4 linked regions of the Macaca mulatta genome follow. The protein of the gene in region 4 interacts with the protein of the main gene of each other region in a biochemical or structural test. Links are inferred from orthologs where the notes say so. Each region holds a gene or a part of one and is shown on either strand. Other genes may lie near its edges.

What was found. The genes of interacting proteins can lie anywhere in the genome.
Region 1: the proteins of STX1A (region 4) and STXBP5 form a complex in vitro, tested with the Homo sapiens proteins (2 studies listed by BioGRID). The link is inferred for Macaca mulatta from reciprocal best matches to the Homo sapiens genes STX1A and STXBP5.
Region 2: the proteins of STX1A (region 4) and SLC6A1 form a complex in vitro, tested with the Homo sapiens proteins (2 studies listed by BioGRID). The link is inferred for Macaca mulatta from reciprocal best matches to the Homo sapiens genes STX1A and SLC6A1.
Region 3: the proteins of STX1A (region 4) and SNAP23 form a complex in vitro, tested with the Homo sapiens proteins (3 studies listed by BioGRID). The link is inferred for Macaca mulatta from reciprocal best matches to the Homo sapiens genes STX1A and SNAP23.

Annotation. Positions count from the first base shown.
Region 1 is NC_133409.1:65,646,359-65,652,602, forward strand, and holds the start of STXBP5 (syntaxin-binding protein 5), read left to right. Parts: upstream 1-2,147; 5' UTR 2,148-3,002; coding exon 3,003-3,155; intron 3,156-4,440; coding exon 4,441-4,538; intron 4,539-6,244. UniProt on the Homo sapiens protein: Plays a regulatory role in calcium-dependent exocytosis and neurotransmitter release. Inhibits membrane fusion between transport vesicles and the plasma membrane.
Region 2 is NC_133407.1:149,876,431-149,882,542, forward strand, and holds the start of SLC6A1 (sodium- and chloride-dependent GABA transporter 1), read left to right. Parts: upstream 1-2,015; 5' UTR 2,016-2,109; coding exon 2,110-2,347; exon of another isoform or gene 2,348-2,378; intron 2,379-2,689; exon of another isoform or gene 2,690-2,741; coding exon 2,742-2,873; exon of another isoform or gene 2,874-2,904; intron 2,905-3,422; exon of another isoform or gene 3,423-3,471; coding exon of another isoform or gene 3,472-3,496; coding exon 3,497-3,597; intron 3,598-5,113; coding exon 5,114-5,223; intron 5,224-6,112. UniProt on the Homo sapiens protein: Mediates transport of gamma-aminobutyric acid (GABA) together with sodium and chloride and is responsible for the reuptake of GABA from the synapse. The translocation of GABA, however, may also occur in the reverse direction leading to the release of GABA.
Region 3 is NC_133412.1:19,899,008-19,905,355, reverse strand, and holds the start of SNAP23 (synaptosomal-associated protein 23), read right to left. Parts: upstream 4,098-6,348; 5' UTR 4,021-4,097; exon of another isoform or gene 3,970-4,020; intron 1-3,969. UniProt on the Homo sapiens protein: Essential component of the high affinity receptor for the general membrane fusion machinery and an important regulator of transport vesicle docking and fusion.
Region 4 is NC_133408.1:51,196,366-51,201,949, forward strand, and holds part of STX1A (syntaxin-1A), read right to left. Parts: intron 3,761-5,584; coding exon 3,686-3,760; intron 2,960-3,685; coding exon 2,886-2,959; intron 2,794-2,885; coding exon 2,685-2,793; intron 2,400-2,684; coding exon 2,326-2,399; exon of another isoform or gene 2,283-2,325; intron 1,638-2,282; exon of another isoform or gene 1,562-1,637; coding exon 1,424-1,561; intron 1-1,423. UniProt on the Homo sapiens protein: Plays an essential role in hormone and neurotransmitter calcium-dependent exocytosis and endocytosis.

The sequences.
Region 1 (6,244 bases), on a different chromosome or scaffold from region 4:
TTAAATTCGTGACTTTCTGAGGTCCCCTTTACCTCAAGGACCCTGATAGTAGAACAGGAAACTGACATTTTTGAGTGTCTACAGAGTACTAAGCAATGTAGTACAAACTTTTCATATTCTTTCTTTTCCCCCTCCGGTTCATTCTCATAAATTCCTAAGAAGAAGGTGGTGTTAATCTCATTTTAAACCTGAGGAATCTGATCCCTGGAAAAATTTAAAAATTTGCCCAAGATTACACATATTACCATGGCCTGGACTGAAGTTCATGGCTAGCTAACAACAAAGCCTGTATTTTCCCACTATACCACAAGGTCCCTCAACAAGAAGTTGTCTTTTTTTTCCAAAAAGTTTTATAATCCAATGATGAAAAATTATCCAATAGATTTTAGACCTAGGTAAGTAAAAAGGCAGATTGTACAATTCTATGGGGTTGTCATCTGTCTGCTTTGCAATTTTCCCCTGTGGAGTCACATGTATTTTAAAAAAGCTCTCAAGGTAATTCTGAGGCTCTCCTCCCCATCGTCTTCCAATGGTCTTTGCCTTCTGTTTGCTTGGTCTGCTCCTCCTTATCTGACATGATCTATAGTGGGAGTCACCATGTCCAAGCCTTCCTGGTCAGTTAAGTGGCCCTCTGCCGTCCTCCTTCATTATTCCATCATTGAACTCATCACATCGTTTTACAATTACCATTTATGTTAAAAGTCGTCTCATTAGACTGTGGTGAGCTTGCTGAAAGCAAGAATTGCATTTTCCTGTCTTTAGTACCTAGCACACCGCCTGACAACAAAATGTTAGACAAAAAATTCAGAGCCACCTGGAAATAGTTTAAGAATGTTCTCAAATTTGTTTTATTGGCCGTTGCACCCAGTGAATCAACTAATTCAATAAATATTAAACGACAAATCAAAATTTTGTACGTTCCAAATGTAAGACATTGTCCTGGGATGCGGAAGCTGCAGAGTGGACTACATTTCCCGAAATCCCTGGGTCCAGTCGTAGTTGGTTCGCTGCTTTTGAATGCTGGTCACATCAACCAATAGGGTGACGACAATTTCCCTAAAGGAGAGGGAGCCGGCCAATCACAAAGAAGAGGGCGGGTACTTCTGACTGGTTTGGAACTTAAAAAAACCCTTTGTAGCGCTTCCGTGGCTTTTCCGCAGACCAGAGCGCTCGAGGAGTCCTTTGCTAGGAACTTATACCCCTCTCCCCGAATTAGGATTAGTCTCCCTGCACTTCCCTCCTTCCTTACGTCTTTCCTATTTCCACATCCTTCTAATCAACTACCTGTGCTTCCGTCCACCTGTCCGGTTGAACGCACTCTCCGGGAGGTTTCCCCGGCACAATCTCTGTCATTGCCAACTTGAGCCAGGCATTTGTCTCCAAGCATCCACGCGAGATGGGCAGTGCGGCCGCGGAAAGATCTGAGCAAAAACTTCATCGTATCCCCCTTTCCCTGTTCAAGAGTGAAGCTCCCGGGAGATTACTGAGTGGCTAATCAGCGTCAGGGCGGATTGAAGGTTCTGAACAAGAGTGGCAGCGCGGCGTTTCCTGCCACCCGCGCTCCTCCCCGGGAGCGGCTGGGTGCGGGGTAGTGTCATCGGCCGGGGCTGACACCGGCACTGGAGCCGTTCCCCGCTGGCAGCCTCTTCCGTCCCAGCAGGTACCTGTTAAGGCCAGACACGTTCCACCAACAGTCGCAGCTGCAGGAAAGAACCCGTTTTTTTCCCGTCTAGGTTTCTCCTTTCCTAGTACCTAAGCCCATCATCCTCCTGCCACTGACATAATCGTTGTCTAGACGTTCTTTTTCAAAACTCAAATCCAATCAAACAAAAACAAAGCCCGTCAAAGCAAGAACAATAATACTGCAGCTAGCGGCCGGGAGCGTGCACCCCATTAACGGGGAGAAAGCATCAACCCCTGCTGTAATGACTGAATTGGAAAGAAAGGTTTCATGCCGCTTGTTAGTCGTCAACATTTTTACTATGCCAGCTGCAAGAGAAGCAGCTGCATACTCTGGCAACTCGACTAGGGTGGGAGAAATTTAGCCAGCGTCTGGGATTTTCGCAGATAATTTAAGCCCCAGCTTCGCTCCCGCTGGGGGCTGGGGGCCTGCGGGGCCAGGGTGGGGGAACTGGGCTGTGGCGCGCATGCGCAGGTCCTGCAGCCCGGCTCTGGGGAGGCCCTGCTGCCGCCACCGCCGTGGCCCGCGCTGTAACCGCGGCTGCCGCTGCTGCTCGGGGCGGGCGTTGGTGTCGTGTGTCGAGGCGCCCTGTCAGGCGAGGGGGAGCAGCTGGGCGGGGAGAGCCGACTGCCGCGGCGGCGCCTGAGGAACGCAGCCGGGCTCGGGAGCGGCGAGGGCGGGCCGGTCCAGCGGCGGAGGAGCGAGGCGGAGCGAGGCAGGCGGCGCGGGGACCCACCCCAGGCGCCTAGTGTGCGAGGCCGGGCGGGCAGCGGCTGGGAGGCCGAGCGGCGGCCGCGGACAGGGCGCCGGCGACCCCCGGGAGGAGGAGAAGGAGCCGGAGGACGCCCGAGGGACTGCGGGGCCGGGGCAGGCGAGCAGCGGCGCGGCCGCGGGCCATGGACGCGGCGGCGACGGTGGCGGCGGCGGGGGCGAGCCGGGGCGGCGGCGCGGCGCAGAGTCCGCCCGCGGCCAGGTGAGGCTGGGCTGAGCGGGCTCGGGCGCCGCCGCCACTGCTGCTGCTGCCTGGCCGCGGAGCGAGGAGGCGGCGGCGGCGGCTGAAGCGGCGCCGCAGCAGCCGCGCCAAGCAGCGGCGGCCTCGGAGGAAGAGGGGTCGCCGCCCGGGGTTCTTGCGGCCGCCTCTCTTGTCGTCGCAGTATTTCCTGTTCGGATTATCTTTTGCTTCCCTCCAGCTGCCTCCTTGCCCTTACACTCCCACTCCTTCGTTTCCGCGGTCGAAACTGCCCTCGGCCCCGGGTAGTCTCCCCCGTCTGGGGACCCCCGTGCCTCCCCTCCCGGGCTGCGGGGGAGCCCCTCCGAGACCATGAGGAAATTCAACATCAGGAAGGTGCTGGACGGCCTGACCGCCAGCTCGTCCTCGGCGTCGCAGCAGCAGCAGCAGCAGCAGCATCCGCCTGGGAACCGGGAGCCGGAGATCCAGGAAACGCTCCAGTCCGAGCACTTTCAGCTCTGCAAGGTGAACGGAGCGCGCAGCCCCGCGACGCCGTCATTGAAAAATTGGGGTTGTTTTAAGGGGGCTACTCGGGCTTTACATGGGAATGCAAGGGAAGAGAACGCCAGTAATAATAATAACTCTAATAAAATGCTCGCTCCTCCCCTGGCAAACCTTTCTTCGGTGGGTTATTTTGGAGATTGATACCTTTACTCCTTCTCGTTGATTTTTCTCTCTTCCCTTTGCACATGCAGCAGTCAGTTCAAGGTTGCTTCAAACTATTATCCGACCCTTAATTTGTATTCTGACACTGCCAGTAATAACCTGGAAGCTTTTATATTCAAGCGTTTTAATATGATTCACCAACTTCGAAGTTTCCTTTGGAAACGGTGTCTAATGAATGTTGTTTATCAAAAAGCCAAACCTGTTCTACCACACCTTTGCTCATCACTTTTCCCTTAAAATGTGGTGAGTGGCTTACGATATGAAATCGTAGGGTTCTTTTTATCATTGTTTGTTAAAAAGTTAGTACTGAGATTTTTGCCTGTTAATGGCACGATGATTGCCATAGCGTTCTGTAATTCAGAAAGAATGATGCAGCGAATTAATTCACCAGCTGCTTAATAAGAAACACAAACTTGTCTCGGTATTAATACCTGCCTTTCTCTTAAATAGCTATGTATTTGTATGTCAGAGTTTCTTAAAAGTGTGTGTGTGTGTGTGTGTGTGTGTGTGTGTGTGTATGTCTAATGCCCTAAAATGATTATGGCCTTAATAGTAAATTGCAAAAATATATGTTGTACTCATCTTCGTTCTGTTACAAGTGTAAAATGTTGAGATAGAGGTTTGATTATTGCTCTACTGAATGCTTGACTAAAGTAATTATATGACAGCTTTTCCTTAGAAGTACTTGCGTTAGCATCCAAATAAAATAATGATGAAATGAATACTGCCAAAATAAAGTATGAATTGCATTTAATGGGTTTACAGAATTTTGTACTATTGCAAACTTTAGTCATTTGGTGTCGATGTAATAGTATGGAATATTAATAAAATATTTTCTTCTATGGAATACCAGTATGGAAAAGCGAAATTAAAGTATATCGCTGGACTAGGTTTTTGTTTCAGGTTCTATGTGAGTGACTTTGTGAGTGTAGGTTTCACTTATTTTTTTTAAAAGCAGTAAGTGCATGTGTATGTGTTTTGCATCAGTGGTAGTGGTTCTAAATTCTAACGCCTCTGTTGACTTTTCTATTTTTAAATTTCGCTTGCTGCCTTGGTTGCTGTGATGTCACTTGCCCATCCCTAGACTGTTCGCCATGGATTTCCCTATCAACCCTCAGCCCTGGCCTTTGATCCTGTACAGAAGATCCTGGCGGTGGGAACTCAGACTGGTGCTTTAAGGCTGTATCCTTTTTTTAATTTTATTTTTTAACTTCTACTTTTTTAACTTCTCCCCAGTCCTTCTGAGGATTAGTTCCAAAGAAAATTTTTATTTTCCTGTTGGTGTGATCAGATATATACTATGAGAAATCATGTGTTGGCTTTTCCCTTGATTATAATTCAGCTTATATACTGCTGTGATGTTTCTCAGCTCTTCGTTTATAGTAGCTAAACATATATCCAAAGAGAGGTCTAAAGTTTTGTTATAATAACTATTTTATTTGTAAGGAGATAGAAGTTTATGAGGAAAAATATATCTGCTTATACTATTGGTCTGATGAATGGGGTATGTTAAGGATGAGATTTAAAGACAATTTAAAAAATATTATGCATGGTAGATATTGAACTTATGACCTATTCTAATAAATTGGAGATTGGATTTGAATCTGAATTTGGTTGTTTTTGACATGTCCGTGTAGAAAAATAATTAGCAGAAGATAAATGCAGCAAATTAATTTTCTATAAAGTTATAAATGGTTAATACTTCTACCATTTTTTAGAGCATTTTCTTGAAAAATGCATAGGGTTAAATTTATTTTCTTGATATATTTTTTCTCTCATAGTCTACATTTGTTATGTATTTGTAAAAACTGTTAGGTTACTATACATTAAACTACTAGTATAGAAAGAATTTTCCTGGTTATGTATGAACTATATTAGTTTTATCAAGCATTTTTTTCAAATACTTCAAAAGATTTTTTTCAAGATAATTTTTTAGTGAGAGCAGTACAGACTGCTCACTTTCTATTTTTATATTGAAATGTGTTTTCTTTTACTGTGACTTTGAAACATACTTAACCGAAATATATTCTTATTTTTAAACTTAATAAGATTTGAATTCATCCATCTGTAGGATATCTACTTCCTACATATTAATGAGTAATGTGTTGGTGATAAATAGAAAAACAAAGTCACTAGATGATCTCAATAGACATTATTATTGTCCAAAAAAAAAAAAAAAAGGAAGAAAAGAAAGAAAAGAAATAAGGGATAAGGGAGGAGCTTTACCTCTTTGCATTTTAGATTTTTCTGGTTCCTGAGAAGGAGCGAGGGAATCTGCATTTGAGTTAAACATGTGCCAGGCATTTTACTTACATTTTAAAGTCATTATTTCAAAGAAGTACTATGTGATATAGATATATATACACATATATATATAAAGATAATGCCTCAAGTTTTATTTGTGATTTAATGTGCTGTCTTCAAAATGCTAATAGAAGTTTTAGGATGGACTATTGAATTGTGTTACTAAGTGAAGTCTACTATATGTAGTAAATACTATGCAGTCATACCTATATAAGCGATAAAATCTGACCAGGCTAGATCTGAATCTGTTAATTTCTGAGACAGTATGTCTCAAGTGCTCTTGCCCAAATATCTAGATGGTTATGACCAGAGTATTTTTTGGCTTCAATTGTTTAGGTATATTTATTCCTGAACTCAATGATCAAGACCATCCAGTTTAGGGTTGTTGTGTGAAGATGGGAATGAAGTTATTTTGTCAGTGTGGGTCCTGAGTGTTCAGCAAAACTATAGTAGACAAGACTAGTATAGCGTTGGATCTAGATGCATTCTTTGGAACTGAAAGCAGTTTCTTTTTTTTCCCAGCAAAAGAATCGCATAACTGGACTAGAAGAAGGAAAGTGAAGTTGAATTACATAAGCTATTTT
Region 2 (6,112 bases), on a different chromosome or scaffold from region 4:
GGAGCAGGGGTGGCAGGAAAGTTTGGATGATCTGAAGATGGCCTGGTTCTCCGTGAACTCTGGGAGGAGAAGATGGTGTTTGGTAATGGGGACTGCATGTGAAGGGCTGGAGGGCCAGTCCACAGCAGACTGGGCCCCCACTGGGCAAAGCTGCAGGGTGGAGGTCACGGGGGGAGGGCCAGGGTCACACTGCACCTTGCTTTGGCGCAGCTCCCACCTCTGAGGGTCCGCAGACTGGTGCTTCACATGTTCTGGTTGTTCCGAGGGTTCCACAAGTTTATTTTGTGTTATATTATTAATTTAAATCACTTTTGTAGAACATTATAGAAATAAAAAAAAGCACAAAGAAGAAAACAAAAGTCACTCATAAACTAAGCATTGTAGTCATCTTTGGATATATCCTTTTTTAAAATAAATTTGGGGGGAGGGGGCAAAAATTGGATAATTCGAAATAAACTCTCTGGAAACCTGCCTTTCTCACCCCAAAACAAGGTGCTCTTTCTCGTGTTCTTACGTGGCCTATTTGTAACATTTCCACGAGTTTGGATGGAGGATGGAGAAAAGTCTCAGCAGCCCCTCTGTTGGTTTCTCTTCTCCTCTGATAAAATTATAGAATGTCTTCTCCACGCTGCCCTCATCCCACCCCCACAGCTGTCCTGAGGGCAGCAGGCCCCACTCCTGCATGTTCCCAGCACCCCGAGGGCCAGTGCCATGCTGCATGGACTCGCTGCGGCCACCCTGGCTGGGGATGCTCTGCGGGACACACGCACAGCCCGGACGACCTGGCAGGCTTCCTGCACCCCCGCTGCCCTCTGTAGGAGCTGCCTGCCTGCCCCACCGCTGCTTCGCCATCCCTCCTCTCCTTCCCTTCTCTGTTTTGCAGGCTCTCACCCAGAGTGGCAGAAGGAGCCCTTCTGGAGCTGACCCACCCCCGACAACCATCAGGTAACATCAACAGCCACAGTAACAACATCCATGAGTGGAGTTCTCCCTCTTAACCAGGCTGACGAAAAGCACTCTTGCAGCGATTACGGCTGAGTTTTGATGCAACTCTACAAGCCAGAGGGGATTGCCCCCATTTTATACTTGAGGAAACTGAGCACAAACAAGAGCAGTACTTAATAGTATTGAGTAGTAGTACTGAGCAGTAGTACTCAGCTGGTAGAAGGCAGACTGGAGATTTGAACTCAGGACTGCTCTCAGCCCAGTTTCCTCCACTGTACTGTACCCCATGCTGCCCCTGGAAATAAAAAGGTAAGAAGGCTTCAGGGTGTCAGTAGAATATCTTGCGGTGACTGAAGGCTGAAAGAGGTCCTCTAAACCAGTGGTCCTTAGCTGAGGGCCAGGGCTGGGCTGCCAGTATAAGAATCTCCTTTAGCAGAGTTTGTTAGAAGTATAGACTCAGGACTTCCTGCAACCCAATGAGAGATGTACCAGTGTCATCCTCATTATAAAAGATAGGGGCACACAGAGGTTGAGTGTACTTAAAGTCATACAGCTCAAAAGTGGTAAAGTGGACTGTGATCAGAGGTTGTAACTCCTAGGCTCTGTTGTCTTCACTGGGACCCTCCATAGTGGGGCCACCTTTCTCCCCATTCAACCGTAGGTTGAACTTCTTTCTTGCTCGCCCTGGCCATGGCTAGTATGGCTGCAGAGTGGGACAAGGCTCCCAATTGCATCCTTGAAGGCAAAGTTAAAGATTTTATGATTAAATACTTAATATTTCATGTTGGAAGTTTGGTGGCCTCAGATTTCTCCTCTGAGCAGGACATACAACAGAGGGTTGGACACAGATGGCCGGAGTTGAAGCCAGGCCAGGAAACATCGCTGTGTCTTTGGAAACAAAAGTCACCTTCCTTCCTCCAGGAGCGAGGGTGGGCGAGAGGAAGAGCTTATAGAGAGCCTTTTCAAGCCCCTAGTTTGTTCATGGGTTATTTTGTTTTTGTCATTTTAGGGTGAGGCAACTCCAAGGTCATACTCTCTTTCTGTGCCTGTCACCCTACCCCTGTCCTCCTAGGGTGCCCTTGAGCCGCAAAACTGCTGTCCACGTGGACCGGGGCTGACATCGCACGTCCATCTGCCAGGACCCCTGCGTCCAAATTCCGAGACATGGCGACCAACGGCAGCAAGGTGGCTGATGGGCAGATCTCCACCGAGGTCAGCGAGGCCCCTGTGGCCAATGACAAGCCCAAAACCTTGGTGGTCAAGGTGCAGAAGAAGGCAGCGGACCTCCCTGACCGGGACACGTGGAAGGGCCGCTTCGACTTCCTCATGTCCTGTGTGGGCTATGCCATCGGCCTGGGCAACGTCTGGAGGTTCCCCTATCTCTGCGGGAAAAATGGTGGGGGTAGGTGCTGGCCTGGAGACCTCCTGGCTGGGTCTGGACCCTGCAAAAAGGATCCTGCTTAGGCATTTTTCTGGGGCAACTGTAGGAGAAAAGCTCCCCTAAAGACTCCAGAGGGAGCACCAGGCCCCATTTCTTGTTTCTTATCCCTTTATCAAAAGATTCCCGAAGGACGATTGTCCTCTGTTAATGATACCAAGAAGTTCATCTACTCACCTGCAAAAAATGGGATGTATTTCACGTAAGGCTGTCCTTGGGCCCGCAGTTGGCTGTGGGTCCTACTTTTGAGGCGGGTATAGAGAAATCCTGGATGGGGACCCAGAACCATGGCAATCCCTCTACCAGGGCAGGTCTTGAAAGTCTTGGGGCCACGAGCTCTGTCTTCTTTCCCCTGCAGGTGCCTTCCTGATCCCCTACTTCCTGACGCTCATCTTTGCGGGGGTCCCACTCTTCCTGCTGGAGTGCTCCCTGGGCCAGTACACCTCCATCGGGGGGCTGGGGGTATGGAAGCTGGCTCCTATGTTCAAGGGTAAGTCTGCAGAGCGGAGCCCTGGGTGGTGGTGCCCCTGCCCACACACACCCCTGCCCCTCTGGAGAGAGGGAGCTGTCTACCCAGACCAGGGTTGACATCACATATCCGTCCATCAGGTGTATGTCTGAGCAGAATGAGGGCTGTTGCAAGGGGCCAGGTGGCAGATGACAGTGCTGGTCAGAAACTAGGGAGATGGAGGTGGAGAAGCCCAATCCAGAATCTCCCGCACATCAGCCTGTTCTGTCCTGTTAGCCCATTCATTTCCCCTGCGAGAGCTGGGTGTGACTTGCTTTGCCTCGTGCTCAGTGGCTGACAGGCACCCAGGTAGATACTTGGTGAGTCATGCTTACTGACTGAGGGCCTGGGCCCCACCTCCTCTGGCAAGCTGAGACCCCAGCCCTGCCTGCCACCAGTCTGCACTGGGCCCCAGACATGAGTCCTGGGCCCTTGGCTTGCCAGATGTACATGACCTTCAGCAAGTCACTGCCTCTCTCTTAACCTCAGTGTCCTCAGTAATGCCTCTCTCTGAGATCGATAAGATTGTAGAGGTCATGGAACATGCCAGGACAGTTCATGTGAAGTCTGTATTAAATGGATGTGTGTCTGTGTTCTGCTCCCAGGCGTGGGCCTTGCGGCTGCGGTGCTGTCATTCTGGCTGAATATCTACTACATCGTCATCATCTCCTGGGCCATCTACTACCTGTACAATTCCTTCACCACGGTGAGTGGTCCCTTTGGCCACCCCCTCCAGCAGGAGCCACACCCAGAGCCCACCCTCCGCCTGCTGTGGCCACCACTCTGCTGACAAGGTCATTCCTCCAGGAGTGGGGAACTTGGTTTGTCTTTTATGGGCCTTGGTCTCCCCACAACAGCCATAGCCTCACGAATTTAGCATCTCCTGTGAGCCAGACACTCCTTGTAGGCTCACATCCAATCCTCATGACACCCCTCTAAAGTGCGTATTGTTAGTCCATTTTATATGGACACAGACAGCCTGGGTTCAACTCCTGACTCTACTATATACCAGCTGTGCAACTTCAGAAAAGAGACTTAACCTCTCTGAGTCTCAGTGCCCTCATTTACAAAATGGAAATAAAATTAGAATCTGCCCTAGTTCCTCAAAAAGTTAAACATAGAATTACCATATGATCCAGCAATTCTGCTTCTGAGTAGATACCTAAAGAATGAAAAGTAGGCTCTCAAAGAGATATTTGTACACTTCTGTTCACAGCAGCACTATTTACAGTAGCCAAAAGGTGGAAGCAAGCCAAGTGTTCATTGATAAATGAATTGGTAAGCAAAATATGGTCTATACATACAATGGAATGTAATTCAGCCTTTAAAAGGAAGGAAATTCTGGCACGTGCTTCAACATGGATGAACCTTGAGGATATTATGTCAAGTGAAATAAACCAGTCACAAAAATACAATCCTGTATGATCTTGCTTATATGAGTTTCCTAGAGTAGTCAAATTTATAGACACAGAAAGTAGAATGATGGTTGCCAGGGGTTGTGAGTAGGGGGATGAGGAGCTGTTGTTTAGTGGGTGGAGTTGCAGTTTTGCGAAATGAAAAAAGTTCTGGAGCTGGATGCTGACAATGTTAGGCAACACATTTCTCACAATGTATTCCCATTGTTAAGTGACACATGACTATATTTGCAGAGGTGCGGCAGGGCTAAGGGAGCTACATTATGGGTATACTTAATGCTTCTAAACTGTACACTCACCAACAGTTAAGATGGTAAATGTTATGTATAATTTTATCACAATTAAAAAATGAAAGAAAACAAAAAGTGAAACCCACCTCATAGGGTTCTCATGAGGATTAAGGAGCAGATATGTGTAAGGAACTTAGAACTGCGCCTGGCAGAGAACAAGCTCTGTAAGTGTTTGCAGGTGTCATCGCAGTGAGAGTTAGATGGGCAAGATCTGTTGCCCAAGATCACATGGTGGGGAAGTAGCCCCGGCTGCAGCTTGGAAGGCTCTTTTCATAGTGAACGGGTTGAGGTTCAAATCTCAGCCCTGGCACTTAGTAGCTGTGTATTCTCAAGCAAGTCACTGTCCCTCTCTGATCTGTCAAATGGGGATCATAATGCTACTTACCTCCCAGAGCTGCTGGGAAAGGGAGGTGTGAGGAGGCTTGGGGACCATGAGGGTGGGCAGGGTGCACTGGGACCACTCATGCCAGCCCCTGGGAGCCCAGCGGGATGTGTCCTCATGACTGTGTCCTTGCAGACACTGCCGTGGAAACAGTGTGACAACCCCTGGAACACGGACCGCTGCTTCTCCAACTACAGCATGGTCAACACCACCAACATGACCAGCGCTGTGGTAGAGTTCTGGGAGTGAGTATGGGGCCGCCAGGGGATGGCAGGGACAGGGAATGTCAGCCAGGGGCTACGGTCATGTGTCACATGACATCTTGGTCATCAGCGGACCACATATACAATGATGGTCCCATAAGATTATAATACCATATTTTACTTTACCTTTTCTACATCTAGACATGTCTAGTACAGAAATGCATTGTGTTACAGTTGCCTACAATATTCAGTACAGTCATGTGCTGTATAGCTTTGTGGCCTAGCAGCAATAGGCCACACCATATGGTGTAGGAGTATAGCAGGCTACACCATCTAGATTTGTGTAAGTACACGCTATGATATGCACACAACAACAAAATTGCCTAACAACACATTTCTCAGAACATATCCCCGTTGTTAAGTGACACATGACTATACTTGCAGAGTTGTGGCAGGGCAAGGGCTAAGGCAGCCACAAGGGATGCCGAAAGCCTTTTCTCCCCAGAAAGAGTTGGACCATAGATGGAGCCATAAGACACACATACTCTGACCTTTGATAGCGAAATCCAGCTACCCACAAAGCCACGGTCTAGCAGGGACAATACGTTCCCCAACATCTCTGCCTCTAATCTCCTGCCAGCGCCTCCCGGTGATCGAACTCAGCTAGAAGCCAGAGGGCAGGGGACCAGATAATGTAGCCATAGTAGTCAGCATCCTGGGGCCTGGCACAGAGTGGTCAAGGGGGAGAGTGGATCAGAGAGGCAAATGGAGGGGAATAACCAGCATAGCCAATTAGAATCACATGGAGAGGTCGACCTTATCCTGATTCATCCTGAAAACCGGCCCGATCTACTTACGAACCTAGAGTCACTCGGAATAAACACGCACACACACTCCGGCCATAGTGAAGGCCATGCTGATTGTATCTTCA
Region 3 (6,348 bases), on a different chromosome or scaffold from region 4:
AAGTCCATAAACTTTAGTTCAATCTTCATTTTAAAAATGAGCTGATTAGGCCCAAAGCAGTATTCTCCGAAGTGCAGAGCAAGAATATGATTTTAACTGTTATATACAGAAGAGTTATATATTTAATAGTTATGTATTTATTATAATGGATACTAAAAAAGGTATAAAATACATAAAAACCATGATTTCACAGATTATCACTTTGGAAGTGGGCAATGTTTTTTTAAAAAAACTCATTAAACATGAAGTAAAATAATAGTACTCTAAACAGCAAAAACTATGATGGTGGTATGACTCATAGGTGAAGATTCCACAGCTGTCCCATGAGTACAGGCCTGTTTTTGTTTACTTTCTTTGTGATTCTAGGTTGTGTTCTGAATGATGTGATCTTAGGCTGGGCGTGGTGGCTCACGCCTATAATCCCAGCACTTTAGGAGGCAGAAGTGAGCGGGATCACCTGAGGTCGGGAGTTCGAGACCAGCCTGACCAACCTACTCTCTACTAAAAATACAAAATTAGCCAGGTGTGGTGGCATATGCCTGTAATCCCAGCTACTCGGGAGGCTGAGGCAGAAGAATCACTTGAAGCCGGGAGGCAGAGATTGAGGTGACCCGAGATCGTGCCATTGCACTCCAGCCTGGGCAATAAGAGCAAAACTCCGTCTCAAAACAAAAAAAAAAGAAAAGATGTGACCTTTAGTTAAGTGAGCTTGTGTAGTGTATCTAAGTTCATATAAGAAACAAACATCAAGATATATATAGGAATTCCACTGTTTATATGAAATGGTATAATATTGTTAGGAAAATAATGGCACAGTAAGTCATCCTTATGCTGGAACTATAACAACACCAACTTTCTAGTGCATAAACACATACTACAAGCACCTAAAGAAAAACCTACCAAGACAAATATTCAAACTGCAGGCTAAGTTACATGATCACTTAAATTACTTTCACATGACCTGTCAAAGGAGTATGGCAATGTAAGGTGTTTCTCTTATTTGCTAATATTTCTTTATTTTCCTGAGATCACTCAGTGATCTCAGTGAGTTGAGACCACTGAATAATTTATGAAGCAATTTAAGCCAGCTGCATAAATTTGCATAAGTAACAAGGAGTTGAATGTTAATCACAAAAACAATGGGAAAAATGTATCCAGGGCATGTCAGAGATCTTCATAGTAGCCCCTCCTATCACAGGACCTGAGGCCTAGGAAGAAAAAATGGTTTCGTGGGCAGCCTCAGGACTTGGGGCCCTGAGTCCCAGCTGCTCCAGCTCATGGCTAAAAGGGACCAAGGTACAGCTTGGGCTGTTGCTTCAGAGGCTGCAAGCCCCAAAACCTTGGTAGCTTGCACGTGATGCTGGGGCTGCAGGTGCACAGAAGTCAAGAATTGAGGTTTGGGAACCTCTGTCTAGATTTCAGAAGATGTATGGAAATCCCTGGATGTCCAGGCCAAAGTCTGCTGCAGGGGAAGAGACCTCAAGGAGAACCTCTGCTAGGGTGTTGCAGAAAGGAAACATGGGGTTGGAGCCCCCCCAGAGTCCCCACTGGGGCACTGCCTAGTGGAGCTGTGAGAAGATGGCCACCATCCTCCAGACTCCAGAATGGCAGGTCTACAAACAGCTTGCACCATACACCTGGAAAAGCCGCAGGCACTGAATGCCAGCCCAGGAGAGCAGCCTCTGGGCCTGAACCCTGCAAAGCCACAGGGTCGGAACTGCTCAAGCCCTTGGGAGCCCACTCTTTGCATCAGCATGCCCTGGATGTGAGACATGGAGTCAAAGGAGATTAAAATAAGCTTTAAGATGGAATGACTGTCCCACTGGATTTTGGACTTGTATAGGGCCAGTAACCCCTTTGTTTTGTCCAATTTCTCCCATTTGGAATGGGAGCATTTACCAATGCCTATTCCCCCATAGCATCTTAGAAGTAACTAACTTGCTTTTGATTTTACAGGCTCCTAGGCAAAAGGGACTTGCCTTGTCTCAGATGAGACTTTGGACTTGGACTTTTGGGTTAATACTGGAATGAGTTAAGACTTTGGAGGCCTGTTGGGAAGGCATGATTGTGTTTTGAACTGTGAGGACATGAGATTAGAAAAGCGCCAGGGGAGCCGGGAGTGGTGGCTCACGTCTGTAATCCCAGAACCTTGGGAGGACGAGGCGGGTGGATCATGAGGTCAGGAGTTCAAGACCAGCCTGGCCAATATAGTGAAATCCCGTCTCTACTAAAAAATACAAAAATTAGCCAGGTGCGGTGGCTCACGCCTGTAATCCCAGCACTTTGGGAGGTGGAAGCCAGTGGATAACCTGAGGTCGGGAGTTCAAGACCAGCCTGGCCAACATGGCCAAACCCCATCTCTACTAAAAATACAAAAATTAGCCAGGTGTGGTGGCAGGCGCCTGTAATCCCAGCTACTTGGGAGGCTGATGCAGGAGAACTGCTTGACCCTGGGAGATGGAGGTTGCAGTGAGCGGAGATCATGCCACTGCACTCCAATCTGAGCAACAGAGCAAGACCCCATCTCAAAAAAAAAAAAAAAAAAAAAAAAGGCAGGTTTGGTGGAATGCATCTGTAGTCTCTATTCAGGAGGGTGAGGCAGGAGGATGGCTGAAGTGTTGGAGGTTGTAGTGAGCCGACATAGCGCCACTGCGCTCCAGCCTGGGTGACTCTGTCTCAAAAACAAAAAAAAAAAAAAGAAAGAAAGAAAGAAAGAAAGGGGCCAGGGGCAGAATGATATGGTTTGGCTACCCATAACCTCATCTCGAATCTGGTGGGAGGTGATTAAATTATGGAGGTGGTTTCCCCCATGCTGTTCTCATGATACTGGTTTTATAAGGGGCTCTTTCCCCTTCACTCTGTCTCTCCTGCCATCTTGTGAAGAAGGTACTTGGCTTCTCCTTTGCCTTCCACCACGATTATAAGTTTCTTGAGGCCTCCCCAGCCATGCAGAACTGAGAGTCAATTAAACGTCTTTCCTTTATCAATTACCCAGTCTCAGGTATTTCTTTTTCTTTTTCTTTTGGAGATGGAGTCTGACTCTGCCTCCCAGGCTGGAGCACAGTGGCATGATCTCAGTTGACTGCAAACTCTGCTTCCCAGGTTCAGGGAATTCTCCTGCCTCAGCCTCCGGAGTAGCTGGGATTACAAGCATATGCCACCATGCCTGGCTAATTTTTGTATTTTTAGTAGAGATGGGAGTTCATCATGTTGGCCAGGCTGGTCTCGAACTCCTGATCTCAAGTGATCTTCCCACCTGGGCCTCCCAAAGTGCTGGGATTACAGGCATGAGCCACCAAGCCCGGCCTCGGGTACTTCTTTATAGCAGTGTGAGATCGGACTAATACAGACTCCATTCCAGGAGATGACAAATAGCAAAAGGCAAAGTGATACTCCCTTCTTGACTTTTTTTCTCCCCTACTTTTATGTCTTTACGTTTTCTCCTACCATCAACTGCCTTTCCTAACATTGTGGTGACTAATGATTAAAGAAGAAAAAAAGGACGAGATGAAACTGCACTTTACAGTACTTTTTCCCCCCACCACTACAATCCCGAATTGTGGAATTCATTCTTTTCCTGATCCTCTAATTTGTGCCGCGAGGTAAGGCTGAACCTTTCTACAGAGAAAGTGCTATCCAATACCAGGAACCTGAGAGTCCTTCCTCAAGCCATTATCTCAGAGCTATCTGGTCACCGTGGTCACCAGACATGCAGTCTATTAATGTCAACCACAGCAACACAGTGGGGGTGAGGGACGGGAGGTGATCTCTGTTTAATTTCGAGGAAGGGTCCAGAGAATCACCATCCAGCCACCTTCCTCCACTGGCCCCTCGATGTTCTCACGGCACCTCCCGTCCTCGCTCCGGGCCCATTTGCCCAGTAAGGGCCAGAGCGCCCCCTCCTCCGCTTAAGCCCGACCCCACCAACTTTTCAACCAATACGATATACTCTTTCTTCTCAGGACATACTCTCCGACTTCATCCCGGTCAGCTCCCTCCGTCCCACTCCTGGAGACTCACCAAGCGGGTAAGGCCACTCCTCTCCAGCCGCAGCTCGGACACCCCAACACCGGACCTGGCGCGGCGCCCTAGTCGCGCCTGCGCGCGCCGAGCCCGCGCGCCTGCGCACATCCCGTGCGCCGAGGACACGGACACACCCTTGCAGCTGGAGCCAATCACGGTGCTGGGGGTTTAAATGTCCCTGCCACGCAGGCGGAGAGTCTGGGAATTCACCAGTTAACCGGATAGATTCCGGTCATGCCCGAAGCTGGGAGGTGTTCATGCAATAAACATTTACTGAGGGCAAACCGTGTGCCAGGCAGTGTGCTGGATGAACGATGAAGAAAAGAAAGCGAATAGAATGCTTTCCCTGCCCTTCAGCGTCTTTCAATATGTCTAGACTAAGATATAGATATGTAAACAAATTTATAGTGAATAGAATACAGTGCATAGCACATAGAAAATCTGAGGCGCCTTTGGCTGATAATGAACAAAGCGTTTTATTCTTAGGGGTGTCTGGAAGGGTTCCCGGAGGAAGTGACTTGAGTCCTGAAGGATAAGTAGGAGTTCCCCCGGAAATCCGGCAGAGAAAGAGCTAGAGTTTTCCAGGCTCTGGGAAACAGCTTATGTCGAGAACAGCATAACGCCTTCTGGAAATTTCTAGTAGTTCATCCTTGTAAGAGGCTTAGTGCTAATCGTACATCCCAGAGTGTAGAGGGAAGAAAGCTTTAGAAGGCCGACAATCGCTAGATTTTGGAAGGCCTTGGAATTTTAGACCACTTTGTACTATGGGCACTGAAAACTATTGAAGAGTTTTAAGCAGATGGATGATTATTGTAAACTATTTGCTGCAGGAACCCTTCCATGCACCTCTAAGAATAAAACAAACTGCTGGAAATCAAGAAAATAAAGTGCTTCACCAGGCACAGTGGCTCACACCTGTAATCAATCCCAGCACTTTGGGAGGCTGAAGCGGGCAGATCACGAGGTCAGGAGTTTGAGACCAGCCTAGCAAAAATAGAGAAACCCCCGTCTCTACTAAAAATACAAAATATGGCCGGGCGTGGTGGCTCACGCCTGTAATCCCAGCACTTTGGGAGGCCGAGGCGGGCGGATCGCGAGGTCAGGAGATCGAGACCATCCTGCTTAACACGGTGAAACCCCGTCTCTACTAAAAATACAAAAAAATTAGCCGGGCGTGGTGGCGTGGTGGCGGGCGCCTGTAGTCACAGCTACTCGGGAGGCTGAGGCAGGAGAATGGCCTGAACCCAGGAGGCGGAGCTTGCAGTGAGCCGAGCTCGAGCCACTGCACTCCAGCCTGGGCGATAGAGCAAGACTCTGTCTCAAAAAAAAAAAAAATATATATATATATATATATATATATATAAATTTTGTATTTTTATATTTTGTATGTTTATATTTTTATATTTTAAATTAGCCGGGTGTGGTGGCAGACGCCTGTAATTCCAGCTAGTCGGGAGGCTGAGGCAGGAGAATCGCCTGAACCCAGGAGGCGGAGGTTGCAGTGGGCCAAGATCACGCATTGCACTCCAGCCTGGGCAACAAGAGCAAAACTCCGTCTGCCCCCCACCCCCGACAAAAAAAAAAAAAAAAAAGAAAAAATAGCTGGGTGTGGTGGCAGGCGCCTGTAATCCCAGCTACGTTACTATCATAATGTCTATCACTGTCTGGCGACAGTGCCAGACTCCCTCTCAAAACACACAAAAAAAACAAACAAAAAAACAGTGCTTCAAGGAGGAAATAGTCTGTCGGTTCCTAAGGGATCAAGGAAGATGAAGCCTGAGAAATGTTTTTTTTAAATTTCATAACACAGAGGTCACTGATTATGTCAGTGAAAGCTGTTTGGTGGAATGCTGGGGTTGAAAAAAACAACTTATTAGTTTGGAGACGGGGGAGATGTAGAGATGGGGACAAGTTGTAGAATGCTTTTGGAAAGTTTGGCCTTGACAGGGAGGAAGGAGGGAGAATGATGAAGGATCAAGATTTTTTGTTATTGGTTTTTTGTTTTTGTTTTTTTTTGTTAGAATTAAGACAGGAGAAACTTGAGTATGGTAGGGAAGATTCAACTGAGGAAAAAAAACGGTTGAATAAAGGAAGAGAAGGGACAGTCAGTAGGCAAAGATGGTGAAAGGGTAAGAATAGAGGCAGTTTAGAGGCAATTCAAAACACTGGTGAGAGGAATGGTTTTGGAAGAGAGGAGGGAGGGGAGAAAGAGAGATAGAGGAGATATCTCCCCAGTTATGACAGGAAGTATGTTTCTGTATGTTTAGTAACAGGAAGTTAAAAGTTCTCATTTGCTAACTTGTTTTCTCTGTGAAGTTGGAGATG
Region 4 (5,584 bases):
AGCTACTCGGGTGGCTGAGGCAGGAGAATCAGTTGAATCCGGGAGGCAGAGGTTGCAGTGAGCCGAAATCCCGCCACTGCACTCCAGCCTGGCGACAGAGCCAGACTCTCTCTCAAACAAAAACAAAAAACAAAACAAAACAAAAAAAACCCTGCCCAGCCCCACAGCCCTCTTGAGTCCTGTGATCTGATCCCATGATACCCCAGAGGCCAATCTGACCATGACACTGCCCCACAAGACTCCTAGGGCGTGTCTCCCTCTCCAAGTCCATCGGTTGCCTTCACTGGCGTCCACGTCACTGTGGTCTGTTTCTCACCAGATGGCGGCAGCAGCAGCCTCCTGACGGCCTCCCTGCTTCCTAACCAAGGTCACGTCACTCCCATACTTAAAACATTCCAACCTGGCTGGGTGCTGTGGCTCACATCTATGATCCCAGCACTTTGGGAGGCTGAGGTGGGAGGATCACTTGAGCCCAGGAGTTCCGAGACCAGCCTGGGCAACACAGCAAGATCCCATCTTTTGCTAAAAAAAAAAAAAAAAAACAACCCAAATCCCCTCCAATCTAGAAGAGACTGCAAATTCCTCAGCACACTGCCTGCCAAGGCCCCGTCCACCTCGTCTCCAGCTTCATCTCAATTCCGACCACTCCTTGTGCCCCAGCACCATGGACCTCCTTTTTCTGTTCCTGAAATAAGTCTGGGTCTTGCTGGGCTTGGGACCTTAGTGTTGCTGGGGCCAGCTCTTCATCTTCCACTGTGAAGTCTTCACAGCTGGCTCCTTTTCACCGTTTTCTGGCATCAGTTCAAATGCCCCTTCCTGAGAGGCCTTCCTTGACCACTCACTCCAACAAAGGCAGCCGCCCCATCGTGGGCACAGTGTTACTCCGAGTGTAACTTTGGAACCATAGTGGCTGCGGCACCACCCTTGAGCTTGTCAGACAGGTATCTTCCCGGCCTTCCCTCACCTGCCAGACTCTGGGACAGGGACCTGGAAACTTATAAGTCCTCCAGGTGACTCATTCAAGTTTGAGCCCCACTGAAGAACCTTCCATTTGTTCTTTGGCAGCCCTTTTGCCCAAAAGCTATTCACTCCAGGAAGCAGGTCCCTCAGCTGTCCTGGTCACTGGGGAAATGCATGGCCCACAGTGGCCCCATGAGGAAACAGTAGGGGAATGAGAGATGACGGGGTGTAGGGGGTGGGGCCATGCAGGGCCTGGGGTCCTTGAAGGTCAAGCAGAGCCATGCAGAGGACAGGGACCTTCAGGTGGGCAGGGTCCTGGCGGCAGTTTCAACAGCGGGTGATTGGTTACCTGAGAACTTGGTCTCTCCCCGGCAGGGCAGCGTGTCGGGCAGAAAGGGTGAGGTTAGTGCAGCCCTGGGTGCTGGTGTGGGCTGCAGTGGAGGGCAGGGGGCCCAGCGCTCACCTGGCTCTCCACAAGCATGGCCATGTCCATGAACATGTCGTGCAGCTCACGGATGCTGTTCTCCAGCTTGATGATCTCGCTGTGCCGCGTCTCAATTTCGCTCAGAGCCTGCTTTGAGATGCTGGAGTCCATGATGATCTGGGGGTGGGAGCAGGGGGCTGGGACCCAGAGGCTTGCTGAGGGGCAGGGCAGAGGGCCGACGGGGAGGGCAGAGCTGCTCCGGAAGGGGACCCGAGGCTTCCTCCCCAGCCACAGCCCTGCCTGCCTTGCTACCTGGCTCTGCCACCTGCTAGCTGTTATGTAATTTCTCTGCGACCCAATCTCCTACCTGTAACCTGCGGCTAGTGACACTCTCCACCTGTGCTGGCCACAGAGCGAGTGCTCAGTGACAGTCCTTACCACCAGCGTTTTGCAGAGCCTAAGTTGACTGCCCCGTGGACCCAGGCCTGGAACTGCCTTTCTCCCATCCCTTCCCCCCACACTGAATGTGACTGCTCCCCCGCTCTCTCCTGGAACTCACAACCCCAAGCCTGCCTCGAACACCTATGTGCCACCTCCTTCAGGGAGCACCCCTGCCCGGCTTCACGTGAACACGGAGATGGCCAAATGTCCTCCAGAAGGGGAAAAGGGCCCACGGATAAGAGGAGAAGCCCCTGGCGGCCGGCGAAAGGAAGTGGGTCCAATTGGGAGGCATCAGGAGACAGGGGTCTTGAGTCCACCTTTGCCACAGACATTTATGTGACCTCAGCCTTGTGTTTTCCCCTCTCTGGGACTCCTCCTGCCTTAAAACCTGCCTTACAAGGGGTCTGTGTCCACATACTGTCCAGACCCTGCACTAGGGGTCATGAACGTGGGTAACATGGTGAGGGGATCATGGCAGGAGGGGTGGGGCCCACACTCACCCCAGATGCAAAGATGGCGGGGTTCCCACTCTCCAGCATGTCCTCCAGCTCCTCACTGGTCGTGGTCCTGCCGGCTGCAAGCGAGTGGGGTCACACTGAGCCCAGCCCTCTCCGGGGAGTTCAGCAGCAGCCTCGGGCCCCGCCCCCTACAGTCCCAGGCCCGGGCTCCCCCCAGCCCCGAGATCAGCAGCAGCCTCAGGCCCCCGCCTCTCCAGCCCCTAACTCAGCGGCTGCCTCGGGCCCCGCCCCTCGGGCCTCTAACTAAGCAGCAGCCTCGGGCCCCGCCCCTCCACGCCTCGCCCACTCCAGGTACCGCCCCCAGCTCACTGAGGCAGCCCCAGGCCCCGCCCCCAGCTCACTGATCTCCAGCTGCCTCTGGATACGGCCCTTGCAGCGCTCGCGGTAGTCGGACTGCGTGGCGTTGTACTCCGACATGACCTCCACAAACTTTCTGGACAGCGTGGAGTGCTGGGGGCCCGAGATGCAGGTGCAGGGATCAGGCCCCGCGGGGACCGACCCAGAGTCTCAGGTGCCCGCCCACCCTAGACTCCCGACCGCACCTGTGTCTTCCGGATCCTCAGGTCAGCAGAGGAGCGGTTCAGGCCTTCCTCTTGCTCGATGGACTGCTCGATGCCTGGGGGCACAGGTGGGTGCTGAGTCAAAACCAGCCCCCTTTACCCCCGCCCCCGACCCGCACATCCTGCATCTGTTCACCTCCCCACATCTCCTAGGGTATGTGTGTGGCCTGTGGCTGGTGGGGTCAGTGCCAGGCACTGATGGAGGAGGGGCCTACAGAGGCCCTTCCAGCTGTGACGTTGTGTGGTGTGTGCACGTGTGTAAATGCACACCCACTCCAAGCTCTGAGTGTGTGTGAGGTCTGGCAGCTCCGGCCACTCTGTGCCTGGGTACCGCTCCCTTTCTGCTCAGAGAGGCTGTGTACGAGGGGCCGTGCCCACAGCGGGGAGAGCCAGGGGGCCCCTGCTGCAGGGCATGTGGCCCCGAGGCCTTGGCACTCACGGGGTGTACGTGTCCGTTCACCCAGCATACGGGGCTTCTGCATGAGACCAGGAAGTGCTGGCCACTTCTTTAACCCTCTTTAGCAGAGGTGAGGGGCAGTGCCCGTCCAGAGTGGAGCCCTCCCTCGACAAAGCCTCGGGCGGGTGTGTCCCCAGGCCCAACCCAGAGCCTGGCACCAACGGGCCTTGCCAAGTAGCTGTTGAGTGAATGGGCACATGACGCCACCCTCAGAAAGGAAAGCAAGATCCGGCGCACCCCCTCAGGGTGAGCAAAACCCCATGGGCTCCCCAGAGGAAGCAGGCCTAGAATGCCCCCCACCCACCCCCAGACAAGCCTGACTCACTCTTTAACTTGGAACGAACTTTGTTTGCTGTCTTCTTTATGTCGGACATGAGTTCTTCCAGCTCCTCCTTCGTCTCTGGGGAGGTAGAAAGGGTGGGGGCGGCCCCCTAGGCTCTGCCGGGGACTGATGTGCAGACTCAGCCTCCAGCACAGGGGGCCCAATGGGGGCTCTGGGTAGATCCCGGTTCTCCCCTGCTCCCCTGGCTAAGGCTCTGCCTGCCCCCTCCCTAATTCTGGGCCAGGGATGCACCAGCTGCAGCCTCACCCCCTCTTGTGCTGTCTTCGGAGGAGCCTCCCTTCCTCCTTTGCCGGCGCCCCCACCCCCTGGAGATAACAGATGGGTCTAAATTTAAGGCAGAAATAATTGTGGAGCAGCTGGCGATGCTGGAGTTGGCACCAGGAACAGTGACTTGATGCTTGCTGTAGTTGAAGTTGGGGGGGGGGGCGCGGTGCGGGCTCACCTGGTGTTACCTGGTGGCTCAGGAGGGTAGGCAGCCAGCCAGGGAGCTGACAGGGGGCCATCCTGCACTCCCTGAGTCGCAGGCTCAAACACTCTGGGTGGGGCAGACCTTGCCGTTCCCACAAAGCTGCGCCTCCCGGGGTGCTAAGTGCCCGGTGGGTGGAAGGGGGCAAGGGGTGGATGGCCTGGGTGGGCGCTGATGTGGGCCCTGAGGTCCAAAGAGGTGGGCATAGTCGGCCCTGGCCGTGGCAGGTAGCTGGGGCCCTGGTGAAATTGGAGGAGGGTGGTGGCATAGTGTTTTGTGACCCTTGTTCCAACTAGAACCATCTCCCTAAAGCTGGCAGAGGTCATGGGGGTGCCCAGCTTGCCCCCCTGCCTGAGAGGAGCTGGCTGGAAAAGTGGGGCATGACAGCTGCCTCCCCTGGGGGTGCTCCTGGCAACACCCCAGTCTCAGGACACCCCCAGGACTCCGCCCCAGGAGAAGCTGGGACTGAGCTCCGGCTGTCACCTTCCCACCCACCCCTCTGCTTGCCTCTGGGGCTGGGGTTTGTCCTAGAGGGGACAGGGAGGGGTATCGAGAGTGGCTATTAGGAAAGCCCCAGATGGGGTCACCTCCCAAGTGGAATGCGGTGGGGTGGAGCGGGGAAGTGGGGGTTCCGAGGCGCGGAGGAGGGCGCCTCATCCGTAGGAACAAAGGAAAAGTCGGTTACCAGCTGCTCTGACGTCTCAGCCTCTTTTGCTCAGACCCAAAATAGCCCAGGCCGGATGGCAGCCCCCAGAGGAGGCAGAGCCCGCCTTGCCCAGGAGAGCCCCCCACTCACTGCCATCTTTCCTCGAGACTTCTTAACTCTGTACCACCTGTGCCCTAGAACCCCCAACATGAGCCCCCTCCCCTTAGCAAGAGCCTGGGACTGCTCAGCTCACGGGTGGTGACTCAGAACCAGTCCCTATGACTGTGCATGACACCGCAGCAGGAGACGGTGCAGGAGGTGGCCTGCACGACCCAAGGTGTGGAGGAGACAGCTCTGCTGCCCCATGCCCACCCCACCTGCCAGCAGCGAGAGGCCCGCTCCCCTGCTCTTCAGAGCCCTCCGTCCCACCCCACAGTCAGCCACCTCCTGACCCTGAGCAGGAACAGCCCACACAGGGACACACGGTGACCCAGATACCTCTGGGCGCAGAGACATCCGTCTCATGCTGCCATCCAACAAATCTCTAGGGCGAGGAGCGCAGCATGGTGAACCCTGGGCGTCCCTCTCTCCTCCTGCCCTTCCTGAGGCAGTCCACCCTGCTCCCACCTGACCCATTTTGCCTTCTGAGGGCGGGGCACTGGCTTAGTTGGTGTAGCATTGACCTGGGTTCATGCACAATTTGGGGCTGTGGAAAGATTTACTCTGGGTTCTTGAAGATGCCAGTGGGCTTGGGGGTGAGGGGTCCCAG